2 linked regions of the Schizosaccharomyces pombe genome follow. The protein of the gene in region 2 purifies or fractionates together with the protein of the main gene of each other region. This does not show direct contact. Each region holds a gene or a part of one and is shown on either strand. Other genes may lie near its edges. The genes, in order: wsc1 and rgf2.

Region 1 (16,318 bases), on a different chromosome or scaffold from region 2:
TATTCTCGGTCAACCCTCTTCGTCTGCTAAATCTGTAGGCAGAGCCATTGTTGGCGGTCTTGAGTCTGTTTTGGAATGGGATTTAAAGACTGGGCAATTACTATCAAAATGGAAGGATTCTGATTGTTCGGCAAAAGTTACTTGTATTGCAAACTTTGATGAAATGTACGCTGTGGGCTATGCAGATGGTTCTATACGTCTTTGGAAAGATGGAGAGCTCTTAATAACTCTTAATGGTCATAAAAGTGCTGTTACTACCATGGATTTTGATAAAATGGGCACAAGATTGGCCAGTGGAAGCATGGATACCGACATTATTGTATGGGATATTGTAGCTGAAACCGGCTTGTTTAGACTACGTGGACACAAGGACCAAATTACCAAGCTTTTGTTCATTACACCTCCTTCGAAGAATACAGCTGAAGAAACAGTGGTGGACACAGATATTGATTCCGGCGACATGGACGTTGACAGTAAATCGTCTGATTCGTTTCTTTTGTCTGTTGGCAAAGATTCTTTTATGAAGCTTTGGGATTTGTCTATTCAGCATTGCGTTGAGACTCATGTCGACCACCAAGGCGAAATTTGGGCTATGTGTGTTTCACCAGACGCCAAACGGTGCCTCACTGCTGGTACCGGTTCTGATGTTAAAGTTTGGGAAATCAGTTTTCCAGATGACAATAATTTCACTCCAACTACTAAAGCATTTCAGCAATTAGGTACCTTTACCCGTCAAAGCCGTGACCGTCCCATCACCTTGGCTTACGACGTTTCAAACCGTTATGTTGTATTCCAAGCTCATGACCGTCTTCTGGAGGTTTTTCGCCTTCGATCAAGTGCGGAGCTCGAAAAGATTCTGAATCGACGACGCCGTCGTAAAAAGTCTGAGGACGTTTCGATCACGTTAAAAGACGAATATGAACCTTTTGCTCTAATTCGAACCACTGCTCGTGCTTCGTCTGTAGCTTGGATACCAGGAAATCGTACACCTACGTTGGTAACATCTCTTCAAAATAACTCAATTGAAGTTTACGCTTTGGATGTCAAATCTGAAGGTTCTGCTGCACCATTAACTGAACGGGCTTCGCGTATAAGTGCCATTGAAATTCCTGGTCATCGTGCTGACGTTCGTACCTTGGCTTTGTCCGCTAATCACGATGTGATTTTAAGCGGTGCTAACGGCTCTTTGAAGCTTTGGAACAAGAAAACCACATCTTGTATCCGTACAATCGAATGTGGTTATGTACTTGCTGCTAGCTTTATAAATAACGACAAGTGTATCGTATCCGCTTACAAATCAGGAGAACTTGAAGTCTATGACATTGCTAGCTCTTCTCTTATCGAACGTATCCAAGCTCACGATGGCGCGATTTGGGATTTAGCGGTTGGTCACGATGGCACTTACTTCGCGACTGCCTCTGCCGATCACACAGTCAAACTCTGGTCTCTAAAATCGTCTTTTGATTTCGTACCAGGTACCACTAGAAAAGTCACCACGTTGAAATTAGAGCAAACACGACAAATAGATTTCACAGACGATGTCCTTGCGGTTAAAATTTCACCTGATGGTCGTTTCGTTGCTGCTTCACTATTAGATAATACCGTCAAGGTATACTATTTGGATTCGTTGAAATTCTTTTTAAATCTTTATGGTCATAAGCTTCCAGTTCTCTCTATGGATATTTCTTATGACTCAAAGTTGCTGGTTACTTGCAGTGCCGACAAGAATGTCAAAATATGGGGTCTTGATTTTGGCGATTGCCACAAGTCTATATTTGCACATCAAGATTCTATTATGGAAGTCACATTTCAACCAGATACTTACAACTTTTTTACTTGTTCAAAAGATCGAGAAGTTCGTTATTGGGACGGTAAATCATTTGATCTAATTTTAAAACTTCGCGGTCATCACTCTGAAGTCTGGGCATTAGCTGTTGGTCCAACTTTTGTTGTTTCTGGCTCCCATGACCATTCAATACGTTTATGGGAACAAGGTGACGATTTGGTATTTCTAGAAGAAGAACGGGAACGTGAGCTTGAGGAGCAATATGAGTCAACGCTTGTTTCATCTTATGAAAATGCTGAAGCCGACGGAGAGGTTAAAGACGGAGACGTGGCAGCTGTCACGAAGCAAACAATTGAAAGCTTAAAAGACGGAGAAAAGATCTTAGAAGCTATTACAATAGGTATAGAGGATTTGGATCAAGAAATTCAGTACAGACTTGATCTGCTTAAGAGCCCTGGTAAAGCCCGTGGACCGAGAAATCCGATATTAGCCCATTTAGGTGTTTCAGCTGAGGAGTACGTTTTGAATACTTTCAAAAAAATTCGTAGTAGCCACTTAGATGACGCTCTTCTCGTGCTTCCTTTTGAGCACGTCTTATCCCTTTTTCGATTTATTGATATTTGGGCTAGTAGAAAATGGTCAATTCCTCTCGTTTCTCGTATAATCTTTTTTTTACTCAGAACGTATCACCGACAGTTGACAACTACAGTTAAAATGCGTCCATTACTAAACAATATTCGTAGTAGTTTGAGGGGGTCACTACAGGAGGAGCGTTCTCTCATCGGCTACAATGCTGCTGGTCTTTCTTATTTAAGACATGAATGGGAGCTTACTCATAATACTTCATTAGAAGATATTGATAGTACTTCCTTAGAAGTGGATGGAAAGAAACGAGCCTTTTCCAACATTGTTTAAAGTTCTTAATCCTTGGGTAAAAATATTTGGATAGAGAAGTTTATTTTGTATTAAATTGGGATTTTTGGTGGTAAATAAAAATGTTTTATTATAATATTTGAAATATGCTTTTAATGCTAGAAGAATTCTATTAAAACTCATTTCCTTTTACGAAGTAAGTAACGTAACTAATTGAATATAATCAACTTTAATTCATAAAGTAAAATTGGACTGAAAAAACTTTTCAATGATCAACGAAACGGAATAGAAGCAACATTTATGGCATATTTCCTAGTAATTAACGATATCACAGTAAATGACGCATAAAACCAATAAATTATTTAATCGGAGATGATGAACGATGAAGTGAGAGGTAAAAGATAAACAGATTTAATCAAACTTTCCACTGTTTCCAGTGCTTCTCATAGAAACAGGAAGGATTGGGGTGGAATGTCTACGACGTTGAAGAGTTCTAGCTCTTCTTCCGCTAAAGTACCACACTAATATTCCAACGGTAACAATCCCCAAGACCATATACAGAACACGAATATTCAATCCATATGATTCCAAATATTCGACACCAAGATTCTTCTTTAGAATTTTAAATTTCAAATGGTCGGGATCGGTTTCAACCTGCTTAATAATGTCAAATACAGTATCCTTTTCAATAGAAATAGGAGTTCCCTTAGCGGTTTCATCCCAATAAATATCTTGAGCAGCATTATACACAATCACACGTGGCCCAGTTGCTTCAATATCAATGTCAAACTTACGCAACCACTGAGCCCAGAATTTACCATTCACCCATGCAAATCTAGTAGGAGATGGCTTGCCATTTACATGAAAATTCTTTGCAGCTTCTATTGCCTCTAAGTCATTTTTCTCTTCAGCCTCGTTTACTAAAGAGTTCTTTTTGTCAGTTTCTTTTTGCCAGTTTGACTGGTAAGTACGGCCTTCTTCATCTAAAAATTCGGTAGCAATCTTTTGAGCAGTACGCTTAGTTTCATCAAAGTCATCTAACTCAGGATTTAACAAGAACAGCACGACACTTTCATCGTTGAAAATTTCTTTGGAATTGGATGTACGAAGTTCAGGAAGAACAGGAAGCCAATTGTTTTTCATCCAACCAAGTATTCTTCTATAGTCCTTGTTGTCCTGTGCCATTTTAGCCGGATAATAACTAGCTATGCCATCACGAACAACAATGAGCTTGGGGAAGGAAACAACGCGATATTTCTTGGCAATTTGCTGTGAGGTAGTAAGATACAAGTTAGCATGTCCTAAAAGCTGGATTCCAGTTTTACGAATGATATTCAAATATTCGGCACTATCGTCATCGTAAAAGTACAAGAAAAAGACATCACCGTTCTTTTCGGCGTTAACAGTATCCAGTAGTTCTACCTCGCGAATCTCAAAGTTTGCAGCTTCCTCTGCAAAGCTAACTAAATCACCCTCATTGGGAAGTCCGACATACTCCACAAAAGCTTCTTCCTTAAAGAAAAGGAATGTTGGGAAGTATTGAATACTGTATTGCTTGCAAGCACGTTTTGAAACAGCACAGTTAATATGTGCGACATTAAGTTTACCACGCATACGGTTAGCCATGGCATACCAAGCAGTGGAGACGTCGTCGCAATCATCGCATTCGGAAGAATAAAATTGGATAAACCAACCTTCCTTATCGGTCAACGCAGCATCAATATCAGCATCAAGTGCTAGGGCTTTGGAAGTACCTGTTGGGTTGATGGACTTTTTCGATTCCTCAGTTTCTTCAGTGTTTTCCTTTTCTTCCTTCTCCTTAGGAAAGCTTGGAGCGGTCTGGATCGAAAATTCAGCGTCCTGAACCTTGGAAGCTGCGGATTTGGGATCTACGGAGGCGGATACGGAGGTGACAGGAAGAGAGGAGGTAGAAGCAACCTTAGATACGCTGCTGAGGGTGGCTTTTTTTGATGCCACAGAAGTAGGAGAAGATGTAAGCTTTTTGGAAGCCTTAGTAACGCTCGAGCCACTAAATTCAGAAGCAGATGCACTTTTGGACATGGCAGTAGAAGCTAATGAAAGAGAAGAGACGGAAGTGGAGAGAGCGGGTTGGATAGAGGCGACTTCTTCTGTATCTTCGTCTGTCAACACATCCTCATCGGATGGGATATCAGGATCAGTATCAGGGTTCAAATGGGTCTCTACAAAGTCTAATAAAGAAGCCTCGCTGGTGGAAGCGCCAAAAGGAACTTCTTCGACGATTTCACCATTCTGATATAGATAGAGAGTGGGAACAGCACGAATATTCGCGCAAGAAGAAAGCTCTTTGGAGCAATCAACTTCACCAAAGTGAAAGTTAGAGCCTTCAACTTGTTCTTTTGCCTTCTCAACCATGTTATCCCACATTGGGCCCAATCTTTTACAGGCACCACAGCTTGGCAAATAATACTTTATAAACCAAGTTCCCTTCGAGACTTCCGACTCCAAATCATTGTCAGTAAGTGGAACTCCCGAAACGAGGGTTTGAACCATCGTTATAAAGGCTACAACCCACGAAATACGCATTACAGAACCAAAGGTGTTTGACCGCATTGTTTGATGTAAAAAGCCAAACTTCACGTTTCTACTGTATTGTATATCTATAACTTTTAAATAAGTGAACTTGTATCACTACAAGATTGTTAAAGAATTTTCTTCTTCAGTGAGTTCGTGTTAACGTAATATTTGGTTCTTGGTAAGGTAAGCACATGCTCTTTGTTACTAAATGAATGAAATCAATGCGGCGAAATACCTTAATATTACAATAAATACGTGGTATTATTATAAAATATAATACCATAAAAATAACTATATTAAGAAACTTGATATAAGAATGTAGAAAATACTCTTTGTCTGAAATTTCTTTTTTTAATGAAATGAGTTGAAAGACGCACGGAATAAAATTTTTTAATTTACAGTAAAGATGTACTAAATTTAAGAAATTCATCGGAAAAACCAGCACCATCGAGTCGAGGACGAAAATCTTAAGGAACCAGGAATTATCACGAACACCAACTACAAAACAATAAGCTTAATGGGAATGCACCAATATTCACTTTGAAGTATTTACTGCTAATAATATGTTGATTTGAATGTTGCTAACTTGCATTCATATTACTTCTCGTTGCGGTCATTAGTACATCACAAAATTGTTAGCGTATTCAAGCTCACTTCAGCTGAAGCGAACCTCGCTTATACATTCTTTTGTAATTCGATAAGACTTTTTAAAAGTCCGTCTATGAAAGTTGCATTCAAACCATACAGTCGCTAACGCTATACTGATATTACCTACATCCTTTAAAATACAAATCCAACCACTAACTCATCACAAACATCCAACCCATCTAGTTACCATGTAAATCCACCTACCTACTGAATTTTCGATACAAAAAGTAAAAGGTGAATTAAGCAAATGCTTATTGGCCAATACCTGAAGAATTTCAATTAAAGACAAAGGGCCCACTCGCTAAAGTGAAAAAGATCAAAGAAAAAAAACGAATAAATAAATTTAAGGAAATCAATAAAAGACAAACGTGAGAGCAATAATCATCATAATAAAATGAACTTCACGAGGAACATGCATGAATGCGAACAGGAAGGAAAACATGTACCGATTATATAAATAAGTCGTTTCGTAATTAAAAAGTAATCATCTAGTAAACGTCCTCCAATAAACTAATAAGGAGGACAAAGGGAGCAAATTATTTATAAAGAAGAATGGCTTCCTCGCTCCATTCCCACCTCCCTTTTAACCGCAGCAGGCTCCAAGAGCTGCATTGGCGACAGAGGCACCAATGGCCGCACCGAAGCCGAACACGACGGCATTCCACATTCTAGAAAAAAAGTTTCCAGTGCTCATTTTAATCCTTCGACTCTGTTGTTTCTCCTGAAACGTCTGGGCCATCCTGTATACCTAAGAGAGGGAGAGTAAAAAAATATATATTAACAAACAGAAAACAGGGTTTTTAGTAATTGAACACGCAAGAAAACCAAGGATATGCTAGTCCTAATCGAATTGCTCGTTCGTTGATCAATATAAAAAGAAGGTTGATTCAACGGGGTCCACAATTAAGGTAGTTCTTAGCGAACAAGAAAATTAACCAAAAATTGGTCTTATGAATAATTAAAGGAATTGGATTTATGAAAAGCTACTACAAAGCTGTTCCGCAATGAGTTATAATGCTGCCTACTTAAGATCTAAGGATAAAGGCAGTAGGTAAGTGTACAGAGAAGTGGAAATCTCTCTCTTTTTATATATATGTGGGTGTAAATACGTGTGGGGGGAAGGCTGAACTACTACACGTCACACAATAGGGAAATTCGTCAATAAATGACGCAGCTGCGAATCCCTGTTTATTTACGCTTGCGAAAAGACGGAAAAAATTTTATTCAAATTCTAACAAGAATGTAGTAAACAATGATTAGGTGGTGCAACGATTTACACTAAACCACTTTCAAATCAAAGCGTTAAGTGATTGTGAACGTATAAATAAAAAATGGGATGGATTGAATTTGGATTATATGTTTAAATAATTAAGTGGAATTTAACTAAAAAGTACAACAACAATATCATGAGACGATCTAACTGTCAAGAAAAGAAAAGGAACATTTTTAATGATTCGGTAACAACCCAAATTCTTCTATAAAAAAACAGGACTTTTAACAGCAGCCTTTTCTTTTCGTTTTATCCTTGTTTTCTTAGCTTCGTCTTCAAGTTAAGGTCCTCAATGGGCCATTGATGAATAGTAAATCAAAAGAAAGGAGGGAATAAAGGGGGGAGCTGCATATAAACCACAGCGTATCACAACACAATGAATGAATGGTGAGATGGCACGCATTTGCATAATTGACACTGAGACTGACATTTGAAGTGCAAATTACGCTTGCATACGACTTTGGATACTTTATGCTTATAACTTGTTGGTTAATAGTCGTCCGTTAAACTTTTCTCTTTCTCTGTCAATTTTTTTCCTCTTGTTTCCTTATTTCCTGTTCCCTTCTCCCTAATGGTTTTGGAAGAGTAAAAGAAATAGGAAACTAGAAAAACCAAAGACGTACTTGACTTGTTGAAACTTATAAAGGAAAATAATAACCGCAAGTATCTCCCGTGCTAAGATCAAGTTGGTGTTACACAATATTATACAAAAAAGAACCATCATTTAATTTATCCATACATTGCATAAATGAACCTGACACACCAAGCACACGTGTATATAACAGGTAAGCAAACGGTATATATATACGATACATAGATATCCAATACATATACACCTGTCCACTAAATAGCATGAAAAAGGGACAACAAAAACAAAAAAAGAACAAGAGAAAGGATAAAAAAAGAAGATAAAGAAAGGAGAAGTAAATAAAAATAAAGTAAAAAGAAAAAAACCATAACGTGCACAAATTAGGTAGCGCCAAGATCTAAACAAATTAAGATGTAGACCAGGTGAAAAGTGGTTTTGTGAAGATCAAACACCAATCGACCAGGAAAATAAAGAAAAGAGAAAACTTAGCGTGTTCATCATATTGAGAAAGGGTAGACAAATGTACAAAAGATCGCTACTAGACAATAGCGTCAAAGACACAAAAACAACCAATTAGATAACAACAAAAAGAAGTAAGACAACGAGAAAAGAAAAGGAAAAAAATAAAGAAAGAAATAAAACCAGTTTTGCCAAAACAACTATTGCATAGGAGTTTAGCCTTTCCAAATTATCTTATTAAATTTAAAAAAAAAATCAAGGTTTAGCCGATAAATCAAGCCAACTTTGCTTTCTTTCCCAAGTCCCAATTTCATCAATTCATAATTGACGGTTATAGAAAATAAAGATAAAGCGAAAATGAATAAGAAAAAAATATGAAACTGATTTGTCACTAACACTGCAACGGTTTAACACATATTGAAAACAAATCCAGTTTCCCGAAAGAAAGATAAAGAGAAGAAGAAAAAGTAAAGAACGAATAAAATAAGGGAAAATAAATAAATAAGATTATGCCAACAGAGAACCGACCATAAAGAACTTTTTATCGTTACCAAAATGATCACTTTTCCGATCATATGCAAAAGATTTGTAGCATACGATTATGAAAGTCATAAACACCATAAAGAAGAAATAATTTTTTGGTTGAATTTAAATAAAGTAAAAAAGAAAAATGTTGTTTTAGTTCAAATTTGTGACACGCAATATCTTTCTCGAATAATCCTGACTGTCAGCCAAAGATTCACTTGATTTGCGATTCATCATGGCAGGATCCAAGCGAGAATCTAATTCACTAGCATAGGAGGGATATTTTCCTTCATTTGCCGAGTCGCTCATTCTAATTTTGAATCTCCTGAAATAGAAGTATAGGAAAATGCACAATGCCATTACCACGGCGAATGCCACACAACCGATAACAATACCCACAATAGCACCTGCATTCAAGGACGTATGGTTTGACGCCTTGCTTGCATTTAGAGCGAGGGCAGCCGTACTGCTTGGAACTTCACTACTGGTTGAAGAAGAGGAACTGCTTGGTGTTACTGTGACAGTAGAAATAAAAGTAGATGAGGACATGGTCGTGATAAACGACGAAGACGAAGATGGCCGACTAGAAGATGAAGAGGAAGATGAGCTTGAAGATGAAGAAGAATGAGAAGAACTGGTGGAAGACGTTATTGGTACGGAAGAGGAAGAACTAGAAGACGAAGAGCTGGAAGAAGACGAAGAAGACGAAGACGAAGAGGAAGAGGAAGAGGAAGAGGAAGATGAGGAAGAAGAAGAAGAAGAAGACGAAGAAGAAGAGGAAGACGACGAAGACGAAGAAGAAGAAGAAGAAGAAGGAGATGTTGTTGTTGTAGTTGAAGATGAGCTTGGAGATGATGATGAAGACGAAGAGGTCGTAGACGACACTGACGAGCTAGAAACCGTGGTTTGCAAAACCCCATTGCCAGTCAGATAAACCGACCAGTACAGATCACCACCACACATAAGAGAACCATAACCTGGACAAGGCGTTGTGCAAAGAGAACTTGAAACTTCTGTAGCAGTAAGTGTACTACCGCAATAACATTGATTATTACGGATAGCTACAAATGCTATATTATCAGATCCACCACAAATGTTGTTATAGCAATACGCTGGATCAAGATAGGTAAACGTGCCTTGTTCAGTTAAGCTACTATCCACGAGATAACAGCCATATTGAGTGTTCATGTCAGCCGCCACCAACCGAGTAGAAATTATCAAAAGGTAAACAAAAAATAGTAACCTCCCCTTAAAGGGAGAGGAATTTAAAAAGACCATGGAAATTAAATCGTGCGTAAGTATAATAGGAATGAAAATTAAAACTTAAATTTGGTAATAAAAATTTTGCCCTCAGTAAATTAAGTTGTTTTGTCTATAGACTAAAGAGAAAACAAATTATTGGACCAGTTAAGAGAAATATTATCAAAAGGCGCAAACCGAATGAAAGAAAAGAAAGATTGGGTAAATAAAATAAAGAGCGTAAAAATTCAAATGCCAATGAAGAAAATAATTGTTGCAAAATCACTTCTTTATCAACATGAAAAAGAAAACAATAAAGGATAAAGGCTCAGCAACGCAAAATCAAGAATTATTAAGACCGAGCAGTTGGTGAAAAGTACTCAATATCCAACTTCGTTTGTTCCGAAATTAAAAACAGAATTTAAAAAAAGAACGAATAAAAAGTAAAGAGTAAAGATTAATTCAGAATTAAAAAAGAACGCGAATTCCTGAAGTTCAACAAAATACTCGGGGACGAAAGTACAAACCCGTACCGAACTTGGCTATCCACAGAGCTTCCGTTTGAATCGTTTCTTCGAGCTTCCCAGGCTTGAAAACTCCTTTACTTTAAACAATACACTAGTTCCTTAATAAGGATACAGTGTTTGACAGATTGTCGTCAAAAAACACTTAAGAATTCGATTAGTTGTTAAGTGGAAAAGTTAGCTCCGACGGGCCCCATAAAGGCTGAAGTCAGTCGAACCTAGGCGAACACTATTGACCCTTACCGAAACGGTATTTTTGCCTTATACTATTTAACGAATGAAAAAGGCTCCGATTGATACTTGGTTGAAACTGCGAATAGTGCGATGTTGGGTATCACTATTGACCGATATTGCCTGTTAAAATGACCTAAACGTTACTTTACATAACTCCTTATACTGTATTACACGTGTTATATATTAAACGCTAACTGATTTTACGATTATCTTCTTTAAATAGCAATAATAACTCTGTACACTGCGATATCACCGTTTTGTAGAACTTCTTTAGCTGCAGTATGCCCATAGCAGCAACTTACATATTCAATTGCTCCTGTAGTGAGAATAATTATTCTGTCTATTTAAATGAAGTTTATATCTTAAAATAAAAGATAGTTATCTTTCTGGATTTCCGGTTTATCTCTTGAATGGAAAGACACCATGTCGAAGTACCCACGGTTAATTTTTTACTTCACATCAATATGTACAAATCGCTAATTTGAATATGATGCTTAACCTAGAATAGTATATATTTATATATATATATATATAAATTGGAGTATTATCTCAAGTAAATAAGACACAGCTGATTAGTTTCTCGGTTTGACCAGTCACCCTGGTTTTCTAACCTAAACCACTTCTGCTAACTTTAACAATAGCACGTAAACTATCTTTGGAACCTTCATTTTCGGGATGACCAAGTCCTTTACCTGCATACCATCCTAACTTTTCGAGCAACCGACGACCTGGATTTTCTTTGCTAATTTCAGGGGCATCTTCTCCAACAATTTGGCCATCATATACACGTGTGGCTTTACTCGACCTCACAGAGGAAACAGTCATTCGAGATTTCCTACCAGATTTGGAAAATGACTGATACTCAACCCTGGTCTGTAAACGCTCCATAATCCTGGTAAGTGAAACCAAATCCACACTAGATGCATCAAATTTATGAGTTTTGGAAAGCATAGTATACCGCTTGTTTCCAGATCCATAACTTCTCGACTTCAAGTTCAAATCGTTGGCAAGCGCATGAACCAATCGACGAACATATTTTCTGCATGGAGGAAGGGAAATTTCTTCAATGGCCGAGTGCTTAAACTGTTGCATCCGTTGATAAACATCATTTATAAATATCTTATCAATTCGTGTAAGACTAGCATTGTCAGAATCGGAAGAAGACGGCTTCTGGCTTTCGCGCAAAAGTTTCTTTTTGCTTTTCTTTCCAAGTAGCCCCTCAGAGCGGAGTTTCTCCCTTTCCGCTCGTCTTCTTGCCTTTTTGCTTTTATCTTTAAGCCATTGTTCTTGCAATTCAGCGTACAAGTTCATGCTCTCATCGTCCAAAGAATTGGAAAAGGCATCTCCCATTCTAGCGGCCACAGCCTTTCCTGCCTTTCTCTCTAATTTCTTTTGAGCTTTACGCATTTTTTTAGGAAGTTTGCGATCTTTTTTCAAACCTTTTTCTTCTTTTACCTTCGCCCCTTTTTTGCTTTGAGAAACTTTTTCCGTTTTTTGAGTTGAGGGGTTATTGTACTCTTCATCCTCACTGTCATAATCATAAATAGTAAAATCATTTTGCAAAGTATCTCCAATACTAAGGTATGCCTCAATCTCGGAATCATCACTAGCATCAAAAATTGCCAAAAGCTCTTCTTCATCTTCATCTTCATCTTCTTCCAAAATATCATCTTCATCTTCGGCTAATGAATCTGTATTTCCCACAAGTTCCGTCGTTAACTTAGCATAATCATAGTCATCTGATCCCTCATCAAATTCTAAAGATTCCGAATCTTCAAGTGAAAAATTTACTTTACCCTCTGTCTCATCGTAATTTGATATTTCAGGTTTTTCTTTCTCCTCTTCCTCCTCTTCTTTCTCTCCTTCTAGCTCTTCATCTTCGTCCTCATCATCATCATCTTCTTCTAAAACGGAGAGGTCGGCAAACTTGTTCATAGTAAACGTAGTCATTTTATCGGTGGTGTCATCAATATCAAACTCGTCTTCATTTTCGGTACTCAACTGCTCCTGTGCCTGAGCCAAAGGCGGTGGAGGTGCAGCGTTATTGTTAGCAATATCATCATTGACCAAGTTTGGAACATTTAGTATGTCTAAAGAGTCATCATTATCTTTAGAATATAACTCCTTCTCAGATTCTTGTTCTTTGTAACACAACTGCTCACTTTCTTCTGTAGATGAAATTTCCTTATCACTTGGTGCAAGATTTAAAGAATGCTGAATCAAAACATTTTCGTTCATGCTTTTCTCAGGAAAACTTGAAACTTCTACATTCTTGGTGGTATCAAACGCTTCCGCATATTCCGGAATTTTCTTTACTTTCAATGTATCACCTTTCGAAGTAATTGCTTTAAATAACACAATGTCCAACGCCTTTATTTCACCGGTTTTTGATAAATCTTCGCAGGACTTAACGTTGGTTTCCTTGGGAAGCATAATCTCTTTGCTTTGGTGCTTAGCTTCATTGTGGGCATTTTGTTCATCGATTAATTGACACAATTCTTCCGCCGGGTTGTAATTGTCCTTAGCACGTATAAAGGTAATTCGGGGCCATTGTGAAATTCGACTACTAGGGTTTAAACCAAAAGGGCTTTTAGAATTATTGGATCCCTTAAATCTTCGGATTCGTGTATCACCACGAAACCTGGCAGAAGTTTGTAACTGATCTAAAATCTGTAGATCATCAAAATTTGACATTGAGGGATACAAGTCAAAAAATATGATAAAAAAAATAATATATAATTGTTTTAATAAATAATGATGGTGAAATCCTAAATTGTGAGGTGCGTAAACCAAATGGTGGTAGTAGGATGGAGTCTTGGGGGAAAGTGCTTCATATAGTACACTAAACGATTTTGCCACGGTATTAAATACAAATTTCTAAATATTCAATTTACAATTTAACTATTAATTTCAAGTATACACGTCTATTTAAACTGAAGTTGAGGAGATTCATACATTGACCGACTCAAAGTTGAATATGAATTAACCGACAGTAGCTCATCATGTAATTATAAGTTATAAATTTTTGTATAAAACATATAAAACAGCCAAATAACTATAATGTAAATAGTGCAAGAAATAGAATGTTAGAATATAGAACGCTATACTAATGCAGTTTCTTTTACGTCCCTCGAGAGCAACGACAGGGGAAACGATTTGTTCTTGAAACAGGGAGCAATGTAAAAATACATAGAATTACTTTATAATGAAAAAAATTCCTTTTTATTTTAAAAGTATAAAAGAGAAGCGTCGAATAGGGAACGAGATGACAAATTCTGCATATGATGAGAACGGTAAGGAATTTGAAGTTGAACACATACACAAAAGTGTATTCAGAAAAAGGAATAAATAATGTAATACGCTCAAAAAAAAGAAAGTAATAGAAATTTTTCTTAAGAATTTCAAACTTAGACAACGAAAAATAACAGTGAGTGCAGATATATGTATAAGTAGCGAGCGAACCGAATATTAAATACAAAAAAACAGCTATACCTTGGTACGTTTTTGAGCGTTCAGCATATCAGAAGAATAGAAGTTAGGATTATTGTTGGGATTTTCACCTTCAACCATTGGGGAATGGGTACCTTGGCGTTTAATCCCCTGAAGACTATAGGGCGGAACAGAGGCAATCGGCATGGATTGAGGAAGAATTGATGGATCCATATTGGGGATATTATTTTGGTCCAAAAGACGATTAGCTTGACTAATTGCATTAGCAGGCATAGTGGGAGGTTGCTTGGCATAACGATAATTAGAGGCAAGACTAGCAACATCACCATTCCTAGGCGAGCCATTAAACCCCGAGGGGGCTGGATTTGCATATGGAATATTAGAGGAAGTAGACTTTTGCATTTGATGCTGTTGTTGTAAAGCTGTAGCAAATTTATGTAAAGCGCTAGTCGGACCCGATCGCTGAGCAAGAGTGAAGGCTATGAGATCGCGCATTCCCGAAATTGTTTCAGTAATTTCCATGAACCGCATGATGTGCGGTTCCAATCCATATTCGTTGACGGGTGAATCCGGCAAAAGAGAAGAAGATGAGTTAATATTTACACTTTCGGATGACGGATCCTCACTTTTTACCCCATCGTGTTGTATTTGATTTTGAGGAGGCCGCGACTGCGAAAGGGCTAGGGAAGCGTTTGTCATTAACTCGCGCAAAAGATACTCGGAATGTCCGACAGCTGAAAACTCTAAAGAGTCTAATTTTAACAAAGGAGCACGAAAGAAATGAGCCCGCAAGTGCCCCGATACAATTACCTGTACACCGCCTTGATACTGATATAAAATGCTTGCCCTTGACGATTCCACAAAATACCCATTGTTTGGAATGGCAAATTCCTTTGTATTTCCCAAAAGGAACGACATCTTTTTAAGTTTGCCGCAATAACTCAGATATAAGAAGCGCGGAAGTGCTGCATACGATAATTCAAACAATTTCGGCTCCTGGTTTGGCGAATCTTTGTAGTCGATGTTATAGCGAAATGTTCCCTTTTCAGTATAAAAATCATGCACAAATCGTCTCCAATACCCAATATCATCTTTCATGGTACTTTCCCATCCTGACATTAACTGTTCATTATATTGTAATAATCGCAAAACACCGTATCCTAGTATATTCGAGCCATTATGATACATCATGGACGCATAGTTTGCAACCATAGCTGCGAAATTTACAAGAAAGCCACCAGCGCTGCAGAATTGGATTTGTTCAAAGTGCAAAGCGCTTGTGAAACATTAACGGCCGGAGCCCGCCATGCATGGTTAACCCTTTAAGTGAATTAGAGATTGGCACGCTACGTTAAAGACATTTAGAAAATGTGATGCGCTGTGTTATTACAAACGGCTTGTATTTGGGTGAAGATAGCATCTTTCAAACGCCTGAATTTGTGATATAAATTAACATTTTACAAATTAAAATATAGAATAAAAAATTCCTTCGTAATTTACCTTGTTCCCATTTTTTACACTGATTTCGAGTATCAATATTAATGAGATCAACGCCAGTTTTCCGTATGCCCTTTATCAATGTTCTCTTATTTTGTTTTAAACACCACCTTTCAATTCGATATATTAAAAAGAATGAAAAATGTATGTGAGAGTATGTCAAGATAACTTGCAAAGTAAGAGTCAGCAGATTAATAAATAGAAAATAATATTTAAAAAGATTTAGGAATGTCTTGGTTTGATTATTTTAATATGTTGTAAGGTTCCTTTCCGAATGTATACAAGCAATCGTAGTTTACAGATCACAAAATCGGTAATTTATTTTCAGTGTCTCTATACATTATTACTTATTTGATGATTAGTTCTTGAATTTGAAGATCATCAAAATCATTGCCCTTACTAAATATTGTTGAAATAAAAATTTTGCATCGGTATTAAGTTTTGTGTTTGTATACCTCGAAATCAACCAAAAAAAATTTTTTAAATGGTGTCGCATAGTGTAATGTTTATAAATTAAGTAAAAAAGGCTTGATTTCAGGAAAGATTTGATATAGTTGATGTATCTCGAATTACTTTATTTTGAAAAAAAGCAATGAATGCGATATTGCAAGAGAAATCATTCATCAAAATTTTTTCGTTATACAGAACAACAGCACAGTTAGTATTTC
Region 2 (17,090 bases):
CGTCTTCCTTAATACCGGGAGACTTTATTATCCTATTTGAGCTAATACTACTTTGCAGACTAGGTCGGATAGGATGATCGAGGTTTGAATGACCAGCATTCTTAATTGGTATAGGAATGGAAGAGGAAGAAGTAGGAGGATGTAGTAGATTACTAGTATCGCTTGGACTTACGGCATAAGCACGATCTAATTCATCAATATTGATTGGGTCAACAGGGGTAGAAATAGTAAGGGCCTCGGCTGGAGGCTGTTCAGCCATTCTGAAAGCTTCTGAAAATAAGTCCTCTTTGGCGCTCGCCTTGGATCTATCACTTGAGCTACGCGCAACAGATGGCCTTCTGTGATTTTCTTCTTTTCCGTTGTTAGGAAGTTCAAGCATAGACGAGGTAAAACTTGAAAGTAAAGTCAAAGAGCGACGATGAGCCTTTTCAAATGTTTTATCACGCAATTCACTATCAAGAATTGGATTGATAGAAGATCGCCTTGAGCCATTTTCTAGTATATGTGAATTGACCACAGAAGGATCCAAAATATTTTCCATGTTTGTTGAGGAACAAATTTCGAATTGCTTCAGAAGTTATGTATAAAAAAGACCGTTATACCCAAATTTAAACCCAAAACGGGAAACAGATAAGTTTGGAATAGTGGCAAGTAGTAGTAGAATAATTGTTTACTGAAGTCAAAAATGGGAGTGGGTAATGAAAAAGTGGTTTACAGATGCAAGGAATGCCAACTCAGTGTAAGGAATTGTGCAGCGAAGTCAATGCAACTACTGTTATATGTAAAAATAAAAAATCCGAAGTTGACAAAGACAAATAACGATTGCAGGAATTACCAACCGAACAGAATTCAGGTTGTAAGTATATTAAAGTAATGCAGTCAAATTGAGGAACGTAGAGAGAGAGACACACACACACATCCAAAGCAATGGGTTTTCGAAAAGATACGGTAAATATTAATGAGCAGAAAAAAATGATAAAATATTAAATGTAGAAATTCGGCTTAAAAAATCGATAAAAGTGTTGTGTAAAAAAATTATACGAGCCGAAGAGCAGTAAAACTACCGCGTATAAATTGTTGAAAGAGCAATAATCAGTGAACTAAAAAGTCAATCCTCCTTGTAGAATATGTGGAATTGACAAAAAGAAAATTTATAGGTTTGCGGTGTGCAAAGGATAAACAACTAATTGTGGTCTAACCCCGTAGTATAGTATGAAGTGGGGTACTAGTTTTAAGGATTTTCAGTGCAATGAGGAATTTCTCACTAAATAGCAAAATCATAGATATGGGTTTTCAGGTATTTTTGATTTACATTCTTTTACTTTAATTTAATAAAATCTTTTTATCACAGAATAAAGGTTGGACTAATATTCACAAAAGACAAAACATCTGTCTAGTACTTTTTCCGAAATATTATTGCAAAATAGATTTATTAAAAAGAGAAAACGAAAGAAATTTACAATAAAACCAAAAGCTTCTTAAGATGCAGAAGTATAAAAAGGTTGTAATGGCCAGTTTCACCTTTACTTGCTATCCACCAATGCGAAACTGTTCTCACAATTATTGAAATTATCCTAAGCGAAATTTTGACACTTTGGATAACAAAATAGATACTTCCCATTCCATTAATGGATTAAATAGCCAAAAAGAGAAACTCAGTGTAATAATAGTTGGAGTTGGGACATTAAATAATGCACATGATCGTTTAGCCCTGGTAGCATGGACGCATCGAAATCTAATGAAGAATCCCCTTCCAACTTAACTTTATATTTTGATAAAATGTTTTGCGCGTCCTCATCCTTTAAATCAGAATAATTTGCAGGATCCGCTAACCGTAGAATAGCCTTAGCCTCTCCTAAAATCTCTGAGTCCTTGTCGTAAATATCTTTGGAATTTGCCTTTTCGTAAAGATCTTTTAAGTCTATTTGTGTTTTTAGTTAGCAGCGGTTAAAACTAAAGCATTACAACACATGAATGTCTTACCTTTGATGGATCTCGTAAATTCCTTCACCTCAAAAAGCTGTTCTCGAACGGTGTGTCCTGCACTGTTTACCGTTTCGGGAATTATCAATGGACTATCGAATTTCACATTAAAGTCCTGCTCCCAATCTGAATCCGCATCGTCCGCAAATAAATCGCAACGAGATGAAAATCGAATATCCGATGAATCGTTATTTATATGAGTCGTTTGCGTATTGTCTTGAATGATAGGTTCCGACACTTTCGACGACTCTGGCGAAGTAGTCGATAACTCGTCCCAGCAAATACCATCCGAACTCTCATCTTCTTGCGTAGTCGCACCCAAAGAAGTTTCTTGGATTTGCTTAGCTAATTCATTTATCCGAAAGGAATCTGTCTCATTATCATCATGAAGCTCACCTTCAATAAATCCATTAACTGAAGGTAGTTCAGCACCTACACCACTAGCCTTGCTCCCTTTATTGGCCGAATTAAATTCATTACTTAACGCAGTTTTTTTACAGTTGCCTTTGTTTATCTCATTCGCCGTAAAGTGAGACAACGACGTACTGTCTGCACCTGAAGCGTTGCGTTGTACAGTACTTTTTGACTCAACTCCTATGAATGAAAAAATTCGTTTAGAAAATTTTCGGGAGTAACTTCTTAAGCTTTCAAATGCTGAGGGTTTCCTCCATGAGCCTTGATCTATGCATTCGGAGGTGTTAACTTCTTTCGGTAATCCAAGCTGTTTAGGGCGCCTCGGTGTAATATCTGAACCATAACTTTTCATGCCTTTCACATGCCTTCGTTGTAGAGTCACACCTTCAAAAGAATGACCCCTATTCTCTTCGAAAGTATCTGGAACCTCTGCCATATTGACAGAAGAATAGAAATATTCACTTAAATTTTGTTGACTGCCGTATACAACTCCCATTGACGAAATACTCGTAAATCTATATTTCTCTTAAGCTAAATTAAAGAAAGAATTATTGCCGTAGAGAAAAGACTGTACGCGTCAACCCATTCAAGTGTGTAAATAATGGTAGAAGGCACTTTCGTCAAGACCACGCTTTTGTTAGTAAACAAACGGTCGTCATGAGAACGACATAACGAATTTTGAACATGAATCTGTAAATGATTTATAAGGAAATACAAAGTTCTATAACATCAAAGAACGCAATTCGTTATGTTGTTTAAGCGCTATATAATTCTGATAAATACTTTATAACGCGTTAATCGTGGTTACGTTAAATAGGGCTTTGTAAAGATGGAATGCTAGCAGAGATAGACTAGGAAATGGAAAAGACTGTCTATTACAAGTTTTATTCATTAAAAATGTTCAACTTAAAATAAATAAGTTAGCCAAAAACTGAAAAGATGAATGACTCTACAAAGATTCAAAGCCACTGCTCGTTCATGAGCACAATGTTAGCATCAAAAGTTGCTATACGCCTTTCAACTTTCTTTACTTGCTTACGATAAACTCTTCAACTAACTCTGTTGATGCAGGGAAAACATTGTTTTCTTCTTTTCTTTCATTACATTGACTTAAAAGTCAAACTCTTTAAAACTAGTCAAATAATGTTTGCAGTTTAAAGCTACGTTTTTGAGAGCGTAAAGTGATGCAACCTTTAATCTCACAGTTAATATAAACATAGCGAATATAATAGGTTAATGGATCAATGATTAATAATAACTTTTACCTAGCAGAATTGTTTATTACTACAGACCATTTAACTTTTAGCAAAAGGAACTTCCTAATTCCTTACAAAAGTACGACTGGACAGTTACGGTTAACACAAATACGTTAGCTCTGAGCAAAAAAATTAATTCCACAAAGGTATACGCAGTAAATAAAAGTTCAATCCAAAATACAGATTGACATCCTCTATTCACTCATTTAGTTTTACCAAAAAACAAAAAAACGACAAACCTTCTAACCAAACTACAACACATTTATAAAAGTAATCACAGAACAGCTACACGAGGCTCAAAAGAAGAGTAAATATATGTAAATCAACCAAATCCAGCCTTTTATTTTGTGACCTAATGAATAAACAGCGTAGCCGAAAAAAAAAATCCTTTCTCAGCAAACACTAACACGACTCACAAAAAACCATATGGTGAGCAGCTATCAACCGGCACAGATAAAAGAAGCATTAAAAACATGGGCAAAGAAAAGCAGATAAATTAAGTTGCGGGAGGTTTGCCGGGTTGCGAGAAGAGCAATCACGGAGCGTTCCATATCTAGAACAAAGAGAAGAAAGGACTTTTGTATTTTTTAAATCAAGTCAGCAATGTTCATAGGCATTTCCTCAATGTGTGTATTGTAGAATTGTTCAATCTCACGCATCATGCGAACATCGTCGTTGGTAACAAAGTTAATGGAAACACCCTTACGACCGAAACGACCACCACGACCAATACGGTGAATGTAGTTTTCTCTGTTAGCAGGTAAGTCATAGTTGATAACCAAGGAGACTTGTTGGACATCGATACCACGAGCAAGAAGATCGGTGGTGATAAGAATACGAGAAGAACCAGTACGGAACTCATGCATCAAAGTATCACGTTGAGCTTGGTCCATATCACCGTGCATGGAGGAGACGGTAAAATCACGCTCAGTGAGCTGCTCGGTAAGCCAATCGACCTTTCTACGGGTATTACAGAAAATAACGGCTTGAGTAACAGTGACGGTTTCATAAAGATCGCAAAGAGTGTCAAGCTTCCACTCTTCCTTTTCAACGGCAACATAGAATTGCTTGATACCTTCCAAGGTAAGCTCATCTTTCTTAACAAGGATACGAATGGGATCACGCATAAATTTGGTGGTGACTTCCAAAACATCTTGAGGCATGGTGGCAGAAAGAAGAACAACTTGAGCAGTAGGAGGCAAAAGTTGGAAAATGTCGTAAATTTGGTCCTTGAAACCACGGGACAACATTTCATCAGCCTCATCAAGAACAAACATTTGGACGGCATCGGTAGGAAGAGCACGACGTTGAATCATGTCGTGAACACGACCTGGTGTACCAACAACAACGTGAACACCAGCTTGCAAGGCAGCCATATCATCACGAACAAGAGTACCACCAATACAAGCATGGCATTCAACATTCATGAGATCGCCTAAAGCAACAACAACCTTTTGGATTTGTTGAGCAAGCTCACGGGTAGGAGCAAGGATAAGAGCTTGGCATTGCTTCAAGCTAGTGTCAATCTTCTGCAAAACAGAAATTGAGAAGGTAGCAGTCTTACCAGTACCAGATTGAGCTTGAGCAAGGACATCACGCTCTCCCAAAATGGGCATAATGGCTCTTTGCTGAATGGCAGAAGGACGCTCAAAACCGTAGGCATAAATACCACGGAGAAGCTCAGGCTTCAAATTCATGTCGTCGAAGGTGTCAATAACCTCATCGTAGTTGGTTTCAATAACCGAATCCTCCAGTTGGTCTACCATTTTAGCAATCTTGCTTAGCTAGGTGAGTGGGTTGTGGAAAAAAAGTTGAAGGGTTGTAATAAATATTTTCTCTAACACACAGTCACACACCTGAAAAATTGTAATAATTCCTGATTATTTTAGTACTTTAAATACACAGACTTTTACTGAAAAATCTATTTAAAAAAATTATAAAAACATTTATGTACACACTTTACTTTTAAGATTTTAGATGTCTTCTAAAAAATGATGTAGCAAGAAAAACCCTACTGAACGTGGCGATAAACTCCTGCACACTCTATCGAAGCCTGCGTTAATGCTGTTTAATACAGATAAGCAACTCGTTGCGAAAAAGTGTATTTTACGTGGTAATATTTGGTGAATGCTAAAACATAAAAAATGTTAAGGAGTTTGGAATGCATATAAAAGCATTTTTTATTATTGTAACACTGTTCATGTTATCTTCAATAGTATGAAAAGTTATCGATTACACATGAGTATTTTAAACAATCACAATAAAAGATAATGAATGAATATGCTGAATGCAGAGAGGTTGTTTATTAGTTGACTAAAGAAATGCATAATAAATCTATGGAAAAAGAATGATTCGTAACAAAAACAGCGTGCAATGTTGAGCAAATTGAAAAAGACACAATTCGTTTAATAAAACACACAATCGTCAATAGCATTATCTCAACCATAGTAAATATATGTACGTAGGAATTTTTAAAGTTATTCCTTAAAGAGATGAAGCAGGGTCATAGATTCTTGAAGCTTAGATTGTAATAGCATATATTATAATCAATTGATGTGGCATGCAAAAGATGTCCGGAGTAGTAAATAGTATTCCAAAATGCTCAAGGAGAAGTTCGCACAAATGTTGACAGTACTGTCATAAACGATCTAAAGTGCAGGACCTGCTGCATTTGCTGGAGGAAGTATTAAAGAATGAACTATAGGATTTTCTCCAGATGAAAATGGAATTGGCTCAGTGCTGTAAAGTATTTCACCTCCTTCACTAATTAACCCTCGGCCATCAGTTAAAAGTTTAATGTTTTGTCCCATTATGATTTGAACGAGTTCGGCTGTTTCGGCATTCCTAATTTCAATGAAGTCCGGCTCAAATGCCAGGATATATGGATAACACAAAGCGCAACCTTGAGGTTGGCCCTCCCAATTAATCATCCAGGATTGCCTAGATTTCCAGCCATTCGTATTAACAAAGAATGCAAAATCTGAATAACAGAGGAGAAATTCTCCTCTTAAGCGAAACATGGCAATCGGTCGAATATCTTCCCTCTTTTCTAAAAATCTAAATGAAGTATCAGCAGGATTTAACAAAGATTGGAATACGGCATTTTCCAAACTTATAATATCGAATCCCTTAAAACTTCCCACACAAAGCTTTGTCTTGAGAAAGTGAACGGACAAAGCTTCCATCGGCATTTGTACCTCCTAAAAAAATGTTAGTATAGAGAAAGAACGACGAGGTAACTCACAGTAAATATTTTCAAAGTTGCTTGATTGCCAAAAGGCTTTTTTAGAGACTGGGTCTTTTTGTTCTTCAAGGCACGATCAGCCTCATAAATCCTCAATGTAGTATTTAAAACGGTGGACTTTACCGCACAGACTAAAATTCTTTGCATACAAAAACCTGTTTTGACGAAACTAACATGACCTGTTACACGTCGCAAAGACTTTGAATTAATTTGTTCTACTGAATCAAGAGCGTCCAGAGGTAACTCGTACAAAATCTTCTCGGCTAAAAGCAATAGAACGTTATGTTCCTCAATTACATCTAGTTGAGAGATATTTGGTAATTGCAGCTTGAAAATGGGTTCAAGACAACTGCCATTATTACTTTTTCGAGAAGAGATATATAGTCCCTTGTAAGTTCCAAATAGTAATTTACGGCCCGCATCTAAAGAGCTGTTAACAAACATTTACTTCTTTAACATATTGTTTATTATACTTACCATAGGCAACGGCACATAATAACTTGTTGCCGGTAAACCAGGACTGACAACATATGCCTCGACTTTCAAATACCAAATGACGCTTTCGAATGATATCTTGCTGTTTCTCAATGTGTTGTTTCCATTGGTCTCTAGCAATCAGTGTATTGAGATAAAGACTTATAGAAAAACCACGGGCTCCAATAAATACTAACTGCAAACCGTATGCTTTAACAGGAGGTGGATTACTTTTTGTAATTGAAATTGGATTAGTTAACAAAGCAGAAGATGGTCGACGCGGAAGGCTACCTCTCGATGGCGAGTCTTCGATGTAAGAAATCGACAACAATTCTAAAGGTAATGGCCTGAGATGCAGTTTATGAACTCTTCTTTTCATTTGAATCTTTATCTTACACAACAAGAGAAAATTGTCCAGTAAAAACATGTGAATGTCGTTTTCAGTGTCCCCATTCGAATAACTACTGGCTTTTAGCTTGACGACGCCTTTGAAAATCAATAAGCGAGATGGATCAAACAATGTTAATTTTGCTCGATCCGCAGGGCTGCAGGAAAGCTGTTCGTTTAACTGTAACAACGAGAGTCTATTTTCAGTCTTCCCTGTTTCATAGTTAAGCTTAGTAAGAAATTCACGAATCATTTCGATTACACGAGGAATGTTTTCCGTATCAGGATTATCTTTATCAGTGTACTTAAGAACTCCACTTAATAGTAGCGGATACCTCGCAAGGCGAGTCGTAGGCTTGGTCAAATAACCATTAAGTTCTAGTTTTCTAGACTCTCGTAATCTTTCCACTTCATGAACATAATTCGCAAAATTCCTATTCGTACTTTTTTCACGCTCAAATTCAAACTTGGCAATAGCCTGATTGGCACCATATTTTATAAAAGGCTCAAATTTAGGAACATAATCTAAGAAAAGATCACCAATTGTGTTAACTACAGGTTGCAGAGTTTGAGTACGGTTTAGAGCATTTGACAAACGAGAATTGACAGCATGGATTTGCATGATATTATGAAAAACGCAACGTATAAATTGTTGTCGGTTGTTTTCTGGTATTACATTTGAGGTTGAAAGAGGCTTAATCCAAAAGTCACGTATATACTCTAGGTCTCTGACGAAGTCCCGTTCTGTGTAAATAACCTCAAAAATGATTTCCTGTCTTTTCCATTCACGGACATCGATCTGGTCTACAACTTGCTTAGGAACATTTTCCGACCATAAACGATGATCTTCCTCTTGTTTATCTGTAATCGAAGTTGATCCCCCACTTAATACAGGTTGGACCTTCAAATGGAGACGGGCCTGCTGCTCTAGTCGACGTGGGCAAGATATAGAATAGCAAAGGCGATTACGAGAACATGTAGAGGAGTAGCATTCCGTTAAAAGAGTAAACACTCCATGAGGATTGTATTCGGTTTCAGGAGCTTCAGGCTCCTTAGTAATTGCGCTTAGGGATGAGGTGATGAAAGCTAAAGAATTTACCTGTACAGACGAGGAGATGGTAGGTGTCGTAGAAGAATCAGATAAAACAGAGTCAAATGAATCAGACGTGTTCGCTCTTCTTTTTGTGTAGAGAAAGTTATTTTCGATCGACGATCCATTGGAATCCATCGAGGAGAGACCAGGAGGAGGAGAAATGATACGTCGGTACTGGTAAACTTCCTTGAGCGAGTCGCGAAGTCTATGAGAGTAAGTAACGTCATGAAACATCTTTTGCGAATCCAGGGCTCTTCCTAAAAGTAACGCCAAATTCCTGTCAGTCGTCCGAACTATATGCATCAATACATCGACAGCTTCCGATCCAAGAAAGGCATCTTTATAAAGAAGACCATCCTTCACACGGTCACCGATGTTAAGACGCTTTCGGAACTCAACGGCGACTTGAGAAAGAAAAGCCGGATGTATATAAGGGCGACGAGATGAGGTAGAATTGGAATGCGAAGGGGCGATGTTCGAAATCGCAGATGCAGACTTGGAGCCTGAGTGATGCTTAAGTAAGACGGCAGTTGATCCTTCAGGAAAAGATGGCATGGGTGCATTAACATGGACGCTATTTTTTCGAATGTTAGGATAAGAACTGCCATTAGATACATCAGAGACGGAAAACGACTGGCGAGTATGGGGTCTACCGAGCGATTGTATTTCTTTCCTACTACGTGCATGAGAAATGCCAAAATCATCTGTGGAGGAAGAACGGCGATAAAAATTATTTTTTTTATTAACTTCTAAGCCATCTCCAGGACCCGAATCTTTTCTGGATAGCGAAGAGGGAGAAAAGCTAAGGCTCGATGCAGGACGAAAATGATTGCCATCATTTTCATTAAGGGATGTGGTAGATGATAAAGCGGTAGGAGAATGTGTGATAGAGCCAGAACTCCTTCTTTGGAACAGTTTTTGGCTACTGCTAAATGATGAAAAAATACGAAATCCTTTAGCTGCTTTACCAAACGATTCATGAGACTCAGAGTTTATATTTCCATTCTGAGCTCCATTGCGAAGCATTTTCTTGTTTGTTGATTCTAATTTTACTACCCTCTCGAGGTATCGCAAGTTTTAGAAAAACGGCGCTATGCAAAGGGGCTTTTCTGATACCAATCGTCCGTACCGACACAACAACAGAAAGAGAAGAAAGATATTTTTCAAATTCAAGTAGTACCTTTTTTTTTAACGCTCCAATTACTTTCAACAATAAAAGGTTCTACAAGACAAGTCGTCTTATTTGAACATGGAAACTTCACCAAATTCCTCTTATTATACACGAGAAGCCGGAGTACGTATATTAATGCCAATTCTCCGGCTTTCCAATTATTCAAACAGCTTGGATACTCAAAAGAACGGATTTGAAGTGGATCGCTGCTTACACTTCTATATTATGGGTGGTGCTTTGGGTAACCTTTTTCTGTTATTGTGTACATACACCTAACACACACCGTTAACTACAGCCGACAATACTTGGACTGATATTACGCACGGTACCGCAATCAAGTGTGGCTGTTGCTATTATAGAGTAATATCACATTAAAGCCCTTCGATTTTCGGGTCGCTTGTGCGAAGTTAAAGTAAGAGCATCTGCGCAAACTCAGCCAGAGCGCCCACCTGTGTTTTGCTGCGATTCTATGAAAAACCGCAAAATCTGTATCCTAGCTGCATTAAGTACACATTAATGAGTCTTTGTTAACGAACTAAGTAATTAATTGATACATTGAGCATTAGCATATAACGAGTTCAGCATGTTGAGACTCCGATTGAGAAGTATTGTAATAGGAGCTGCGATAGCGGGATCCATACTGTTGTTATTCAATCATGGTAGCATAGAAGGAATGGAAGATTTGACAGAGATTTCGATGTTGGAGGATTACACTCCGGAAGCCGCTAATAAAGATTATGTTGGTCAACAGGAGGAGGAGGAACTTTTGTATGATCAACCGTCTTACATTGAAGAAGAAGAAGATCCAGATTTGGAAGCTTACTTGAGCGATTTGGAGAGGGAAGAGCTGGAACACAGCTTGGAAGAACTTGATGAAGAAAATAATTATAAACTTCATCTACGGTACTCCTTTTCACAGCTTCAAGATTTTGACGAAGAAAATGAAGCTGTACACATGATCGTTCCTAAAGATACTTATGAATTTGAGGTGCCTTATCACGCTGACATTCCCAAGTTAATATGGCAAACTTCCAAGGACCCTTTTGATAGAGAGGTTATGAAGTACACTCGGTTTTGGAGAATCAACCATCCCAGTTATTCTCATGCTGTTTTAGACGATGAGCAGTCTAAAGCATTGGTCATCAGTAGCTTTGGCGATTCATCAGTTTCCAAGATTTCACAAGCGTATGCAATGATGCCTCTGCCTGTTCTGAAGGCCGATTTCTTTCGGTATCTAGTGTTATTGGCAAAAGGTGGTATTTATAGCGACATTGATACGGCACCATTGAAGCATATAAACAATTGGATCCCTCGTGAATATCGTAAGCGTAATATTCGACTGATCGTTGGCATTGAAGCAGATCCCGACCGCCCTGATTGGAACGACTACTATGCCAGGCGTGTACAATTCTGTCAGTGGACCATAGCTGCTGCACCAGGCCATCCAATTCTTTGGGAACTTGTTCGTAGAATTACCGATGAAACTTGGAAGCTGCATGATTCAAAGAAGCTTTCGAAAAATGGCGAGTCAGTAATGGAGTGGACTGGTCCAGGTATTTGGACCGATGCCATTATGGATTATTTAAATTGGCAGTATGGCCCTTTCTCGGTTGAGAATATCACCAATTTAGAAGAACCTTATCTTGTTGGAGATGTTTTAATCCTACCCATAACTGCATTTAGTCCTGGTGTCGGTCACATGGGTAGCAAGTCTCCAAATGATCCGATGGCGTATGTTCAACATTTCTTTGCCGGTTCATGGAAAGATGATTGATCGTTTGAAATGTGGGTGGGTGGTCATTTCTTGGTATAATGTGCTTAAAGTGTTCGAACCGGGCAATTCGATAATACTAAATACACGCATTTGATCTGGTTTGGAAACTGTTACGGGTTGTGTTCGAGCAATTTTTGTAAATTATAGCTTGCGCAAACAAAAAAGTTTCTTTCGTGGTTGATTTAATCTTTCCCTCATAATTCTACATCTCTTTACGATTAATTTTGCATGTATTTTGTACGTTAGCCAATCAAGTTGGCAATATTGGTGACATTATTGAATTATATGAAGCCAATGCTTATGTCCTGATGATCAACTTTCTTTTTTTTTTTTTTTTCAGCGCTTTCATCAACGCGTTTTATAGCTCAGCACTATAATATTTTCCCTTGTAAACTGTTTTGAATTCTAAAGCTGTTTGTTTCTTTCAATAATTTTATAAAACTTTTGCGCTGATCACAATCAGTCTTTTTCAATTTTTTTCTCTTTTGTGATGGTATATTGACCCCAAAGCGTTTCTGTATACTTAGGTGAATTATCAAAGTAGTACAGAGATTATGCCTAAGATTTGAAGATGAATGATAAACCTGTTTCGGCTTTGTAATTACTTTATGTCTTTAGACTTGCATGAATGCTTCTTGGGATTAAAGGACCTCATATTTCTTCATTAAATTTTTGAGGTTTGTCTCTCTTTCTTTGCAACTACATTTTTTTTCAGAAGGTGACTTTATTTTGCTAGTAGTATTAGCGCTGTATTCTATAATATTTGTTTACTTTGGACCGACAAAGTTCATCACTTTACAGCTTCAACTATACATTATTTTTATTATAAATAAATAGACTGAAAAGTGTTTCAATAATTGAATAAACTTACTATTATCTTTTAAAGCTATGCTAACGCCCTTGCTTTGAATACCTTAGAACATTAAACACCCATATAAGAAGTTATTGTAGTGTTTATTTACCTCCATTTCCCACTGTCACAAACACGATTGTTGAGTGCATTTACAACCTGAAGGTTTAATGCTTTTCCTAATTGATGTTAAAAGTATTTCTTTTTTCCGTTATTTCTTTTCTATAAGTGCAGGATTTACATCTTCGAATTAGAAGCATCGTTGATAAATCTTACAATTGGTAGATTGCTTGCTCAAAATTATATTTTAGAAAAGCCTAACTTATTTGATTAAATACTTAATGACTAAAGAAACTCACGAAAATCATTTGCGTACGCATAACGGGATATTTCCTGTTTCTTTGCTCTCAACTCAAGCGCGTCAACTTTTGAATTTCAAGCTAAAGAGTCCTTCCTATTATCTTTTAAACAGTTTTAAACTCTTAGTTAAATCGGAAGGGAATAATCAATCAACCACTGCAGATGTAACTTTAACAAAATCACCAAATGCTTATCATGCTTCCAGCGCTAGAGAAGAGAAAGATTTACAAGTTTCTCGGCGGGATACTTGCTTTTATTGCAGTAGAAAAATTATCAAATGCATATGCAACGAAGAACACGTTGGGATTGAATCAGTTCAGCTTAAACTTATACTTCTATTGTGCCAAAATCTACCAAATGTTACTACTAATGCAAAAAAATATTTCAGTTCACTGGCTGATGGCCATAATTTCACTTTGACGCTTTATAAATTTTCTTTAGATAACCAAACATTTTCTCAATTACTTTCTCGATTTAAATCTTTTGCTACTTTGACTGAACTACTTCAAGTGCACAATGTTATGCTTCAAGTAAACTTTTCCTTTCAAGCAAGGCAACTAAACACAGAAATTCAACTACGACGATGCCATTCGTTAGAAAAAACATGGAAATTCTTATTTGGCGATTATGAATTACCTGATGTTCTAAAAGATATGGAGTCATCGAATAGTGATTGGAGTGACACATCTCTGAAACGAATTGCCTATTTATGTTCTCTTGTTGAGGAGCTCAAACTTCATTCTTCTATTATGAACGACAAGTATGTGTGCCTTGTGTCCAAGCATAACAACGCATTGGAAGACAAGTTTAACAGTGAAGCCGCGCGTCAGTTGTTGCAGAAATCTCTAAGTATAGTAGCGTCAAATTTGAAACAAGCCGAAAATAAAACTATCAGTTATGAAGAAAAGCTTTCTATAGCTCAAAATTCTATTAATGAAATTCAAACCCAAAACAGGGATTTAAAACTTGAAACCGAGAAGTTACAGGATCAAATCAAAGCGTTGCTAGAAAGAAATCAGTCATTGCAAGAAGCTCTAGAAACTGTTAAAAATGATGAAAAAAATCTGAGAGAAATGAACGCCAATTATGAAACCGAGATGAAAGAAGCGCGTCAAAAGTTAAACAACAAGGAGGCATTAATTAGTCATTATGATGATGATTTTCGAGCAAAAGAATTAAAAATTTCAAGACTTTCCGAAAGTCTTAGAGAAAAAGCAGGCTTATTGGAGTTTCAGTCTTCTGTTAGTGAACAAAGGGATCTACTTTATCAAGAACAAATACAGTCGTCAATAAAGGATATGGAGAATGTATTTCGAAAAAATGAATATCTTATGGAAGAACTTAATGAATTAAAGAACAATCTTGAAGTGGAATCAAGTAAGGTTTTGAGACTTGATGAAGAAATGAAATGCCTAAAGGATGAGCAACTCTCTCAATTTGACACGGTCTTTAGTTTGACTGATGAACGGGATGGATTACAGAAGGATTTAAAAAACACTAAGGGAAATCTTGACGATGAAATCGGGCGCTCTGCATTTTTAAAAAGCCAAATCAGGGATCAAGAGCTAACTATTGAGAAGCTCCATGACAGTTTGGAGACTTTAAGTCAAACTAACAATAGTTTACAGTGTGAGATTTCTGAAAAGAATGCAGAGTTAAATTCAGTAAACTCCAAACTTTCTGAAGGTAGAGCACACCTGGAAACCGCGAATAAGGAGAATGAGATATTGAAGCAGCAATTGGAGTTAAGTGAATCCAAATTAGCCAGTTTGTTAAACTCTTATCAATCATTTATTAATAAAAAAGAGCACCTCTATTCTTTTTTACAGCTTGTCGAGCCATCGTTCGCTAAAAGTGATTCATCTAATGCTACCGAATCCCAAATTTCCGAAAGTGTACGAAAAGGAATTTCAATATTTAATCTTTTGTTCATTGTTTACAAAAACGTATGCTCTCAAGCTGGAATTAATCCATCTACAAAGCTTGAAGATCTTGATGAACATACACTTTCTGATGAGCTGACTTATATAACAAAAAAGTTTGTACAAAAGGATCAAGAATACCAAACGAAGGAAATCGAGTTAAGGAATTATAAAATTACTCTTCAGTCGTTACTTGAAGATAAGCTTATCGGTGTAAATACTGATTGCAGATCACCTTCTTGTTCAGACTTTGAGCAACTAGGGCAAGAAAGCGAAAATAATACTTCTATCTCAGGAAGGGTTAGTAAATTAGTCAAAAGCTTTAATGATTCATCTTCTATTTCCAACAACACAAAAATCTCAATCACTAAGTCCCCATCTGGTGAGAAAGTTTCCGTATTTAAAGAGATGTCAGACATAGCTCTGCGCGATATGGATAAAAACAGAAAATTATTGGGAGAAAATGTTGACGTGAGAAATATTGTTGTCCAAAAGGATGAGTCATTGAACATTGACTTACAGAATAATGCTGTAGTACCTGAACTGCACTTCAAGGAGGGGATGGTATACGATTCATTGGAAAATGCGTATACTTATTTGGCCGAATCCAAACGCATGTTAGCAAATGAACTTCAGATGAAGCAAGAAGATCTTGAAAAAGTTATTTTAGAACTTGAAGCTTACAAGGAAATCTTCTTAGAAGAAAAACAAATTCCTTGTGAGGAGTTTATGCCAGGTAAGAACGCAAAATCCGAAAAGTCACTGCGGTCAGTTTTTCAAGAGCAGTTGATGAGAGAAACAAAGCGAGTTCGAAAATTGGAAAAAGTAAACTCTGAATTGAAATTGCATTGCTTTGAACTTTCTGAACGATTGAGGGAGCGCGAGCATACACTACAGCAAACATTTGGAGACAAATAGTATGTTCGCAAGTAGTAACAGATCAAAGGTACTAGCCTCATTGAGATTACCAATAAATAATCTATGAATACGGTCTTTCGTTTTAAATGCTTGAAGGCCGCCTGTTAGCCTCAAATGATAACTTGACCGGTCTTAAAATTTCGAGGTTTATGGGGGAATTTCAATAATAAATAATAACAAAATCTAGCATTTTTGTTAGGTGATTACATGAAAGCGTTTTGATCTTAAATCATTTCTTCAAGCTCCTGAAAGGCTAAATTTTTCATGTAACGGATTAAACAGACTAAATTCAGATTAATAACTTAAGCAACGGAAGAGTATGTTATAAAACTGCACGATTACATATTCCTCGGTCTTTAGTATTTTTGCACGATCGGCCTTGTAATCAGATACGGAACTACCTTTTCGATGAGGGTTTTTAGTAAAAAGAGCTATTACCAGTGTTACTGTCAATAGTCGGCTTTCGTGCTAAAACATCATAAACGGATACCCGAACTTTTATTGCACACGAAATTTGCATAAAGCACAATGTTTTTGTTGTTTTTAGTTTATGAACTTCAAGTTTTTAATAAAGGCCAAAGACTGTTCCAACGTTAAAACCGAACTGAGCGAAAGAATATTTCTTTTTCTCATGTGCTCATAGAAGGATATGCTAGTAGAAAACATTATCATTATTGGACAAAGGTTTAAAACACAGTTTTCTCATTTTCGCTATTTTTCTTGAACTTCTCCAGATGTTCTATGTTTCTATTTATGAGACAAGGCGGCCGCTACTAAATTACTGACTAGTCCATTAAAAGCAGATTTCCCGCTATAATTTGATAACTCAAAAATGTTATTTCACCTTCGCGTAAATTTGTGCTGTAAACTAGCAAAAGATAATTGGATGCGAAAGCTTTGAATCACCGCTACACTTTTCGTATGAGCAAGCCAATAAGGCTGAACATATTAGCTGTTCTTGTGTTACTTTTTAAAATTGTTTGAAAATATATTTGCTACATTCAGTATACCTGTTCAATAGACTAATTCCGAATGTTTTGTAAATAAAGAGTCTTAGTGCATATTTCAGACAGTTCATTAGAACAAATAAGAAAGTATTCAACCATCAATATCTTTATTAGGGAATAACATGCTCTGAGGTGAAAAAACTTTATGTGCAATAATATTTAATGTTTTTCGCGTTTCACTGTCTTAACTGGTACTACAAACAAAACATCTGCTGTTGAAATTTGGCACTACTAACC

What was found.
Region 1: the proteins of rgf2 (region 2) and wsc1 purify together in Schizosaccharomyces pombe (affinity purification with western blotting, with the first as the bait; one study listed by BioGRID). This does not show direct contact.

The regions. Positions count from the first base shown.
Region 1 is NC_003423.3:1,290,632-1,306,949, forward strand, and holds wsc1 (transmembrane receptor Wsc1), read right to left. Parts: upstream 10,649-16,318; 5' UTR 9,985-10,648; coding exon 8,860-9,984; 3' UTR 7,045-8,859; downstream 1-7,044. Other genes in the region: U3 snoRNA associated protein Dip2, read left to right, coding at 1-2,701; disulfide isomerase Pdi3, read right to left, coding at 3,071-5,251; SPOM_SPBC3D6.16 (uncharacterized protein), read left to right, coding at 6,284-6,332, 6,391-6,629; SPOM_SPBC30B4.09 (uncharacterized protein), read right to left, coding at 6,447-6,602; sqs1 (G-patch and R3H domain-containing protein), read right to left, coding at 11,310-13,397; ldb1 (LIM domain binding protein), read right to left, coding at 14,190-15,365.
Region 2 is NC_003424.3:5,073,892-5,090,981, reverse strand, and holds rgf2 (RhoGEF for Rho1 Rgf2), read right to left. Parts: upstream 10,265-17,090; 5' UTR 9,878-10,264; coding exon 7,375-9,877; exon of another isoform or gene 7,373-7,374; intron 7,320-7,372; coding exon 6,898-7,319; intron 6,854-6,897; coding exon 6,302-6,853; 3' UTR 5,927-6,301; downstream 1-5,926. Other genes in the region: MAP kinase kinase kinase Win1, read right to left, coding at 1-541; Spg1-binding protein Etd1, read right to left, coding at 1,656-1,921, 1,984-2,893; translation initiation factor eIF4A Tif1, read right to left, coding at 4,241-5,419; Golgi alpha-1,6-mannosyltransferase Och1, read left to right, coding at 10,606-11,796; protein mcp3, read left to right, coding at 12,988-15,846. UniProt on the Schizosaccharomyces pombe protein: Stimulates the exchange of Rho1 and Rho5 GDP-bound form into GTP-bound form. Controls septum formation, cell wall synthesis and localization of F-actin patches.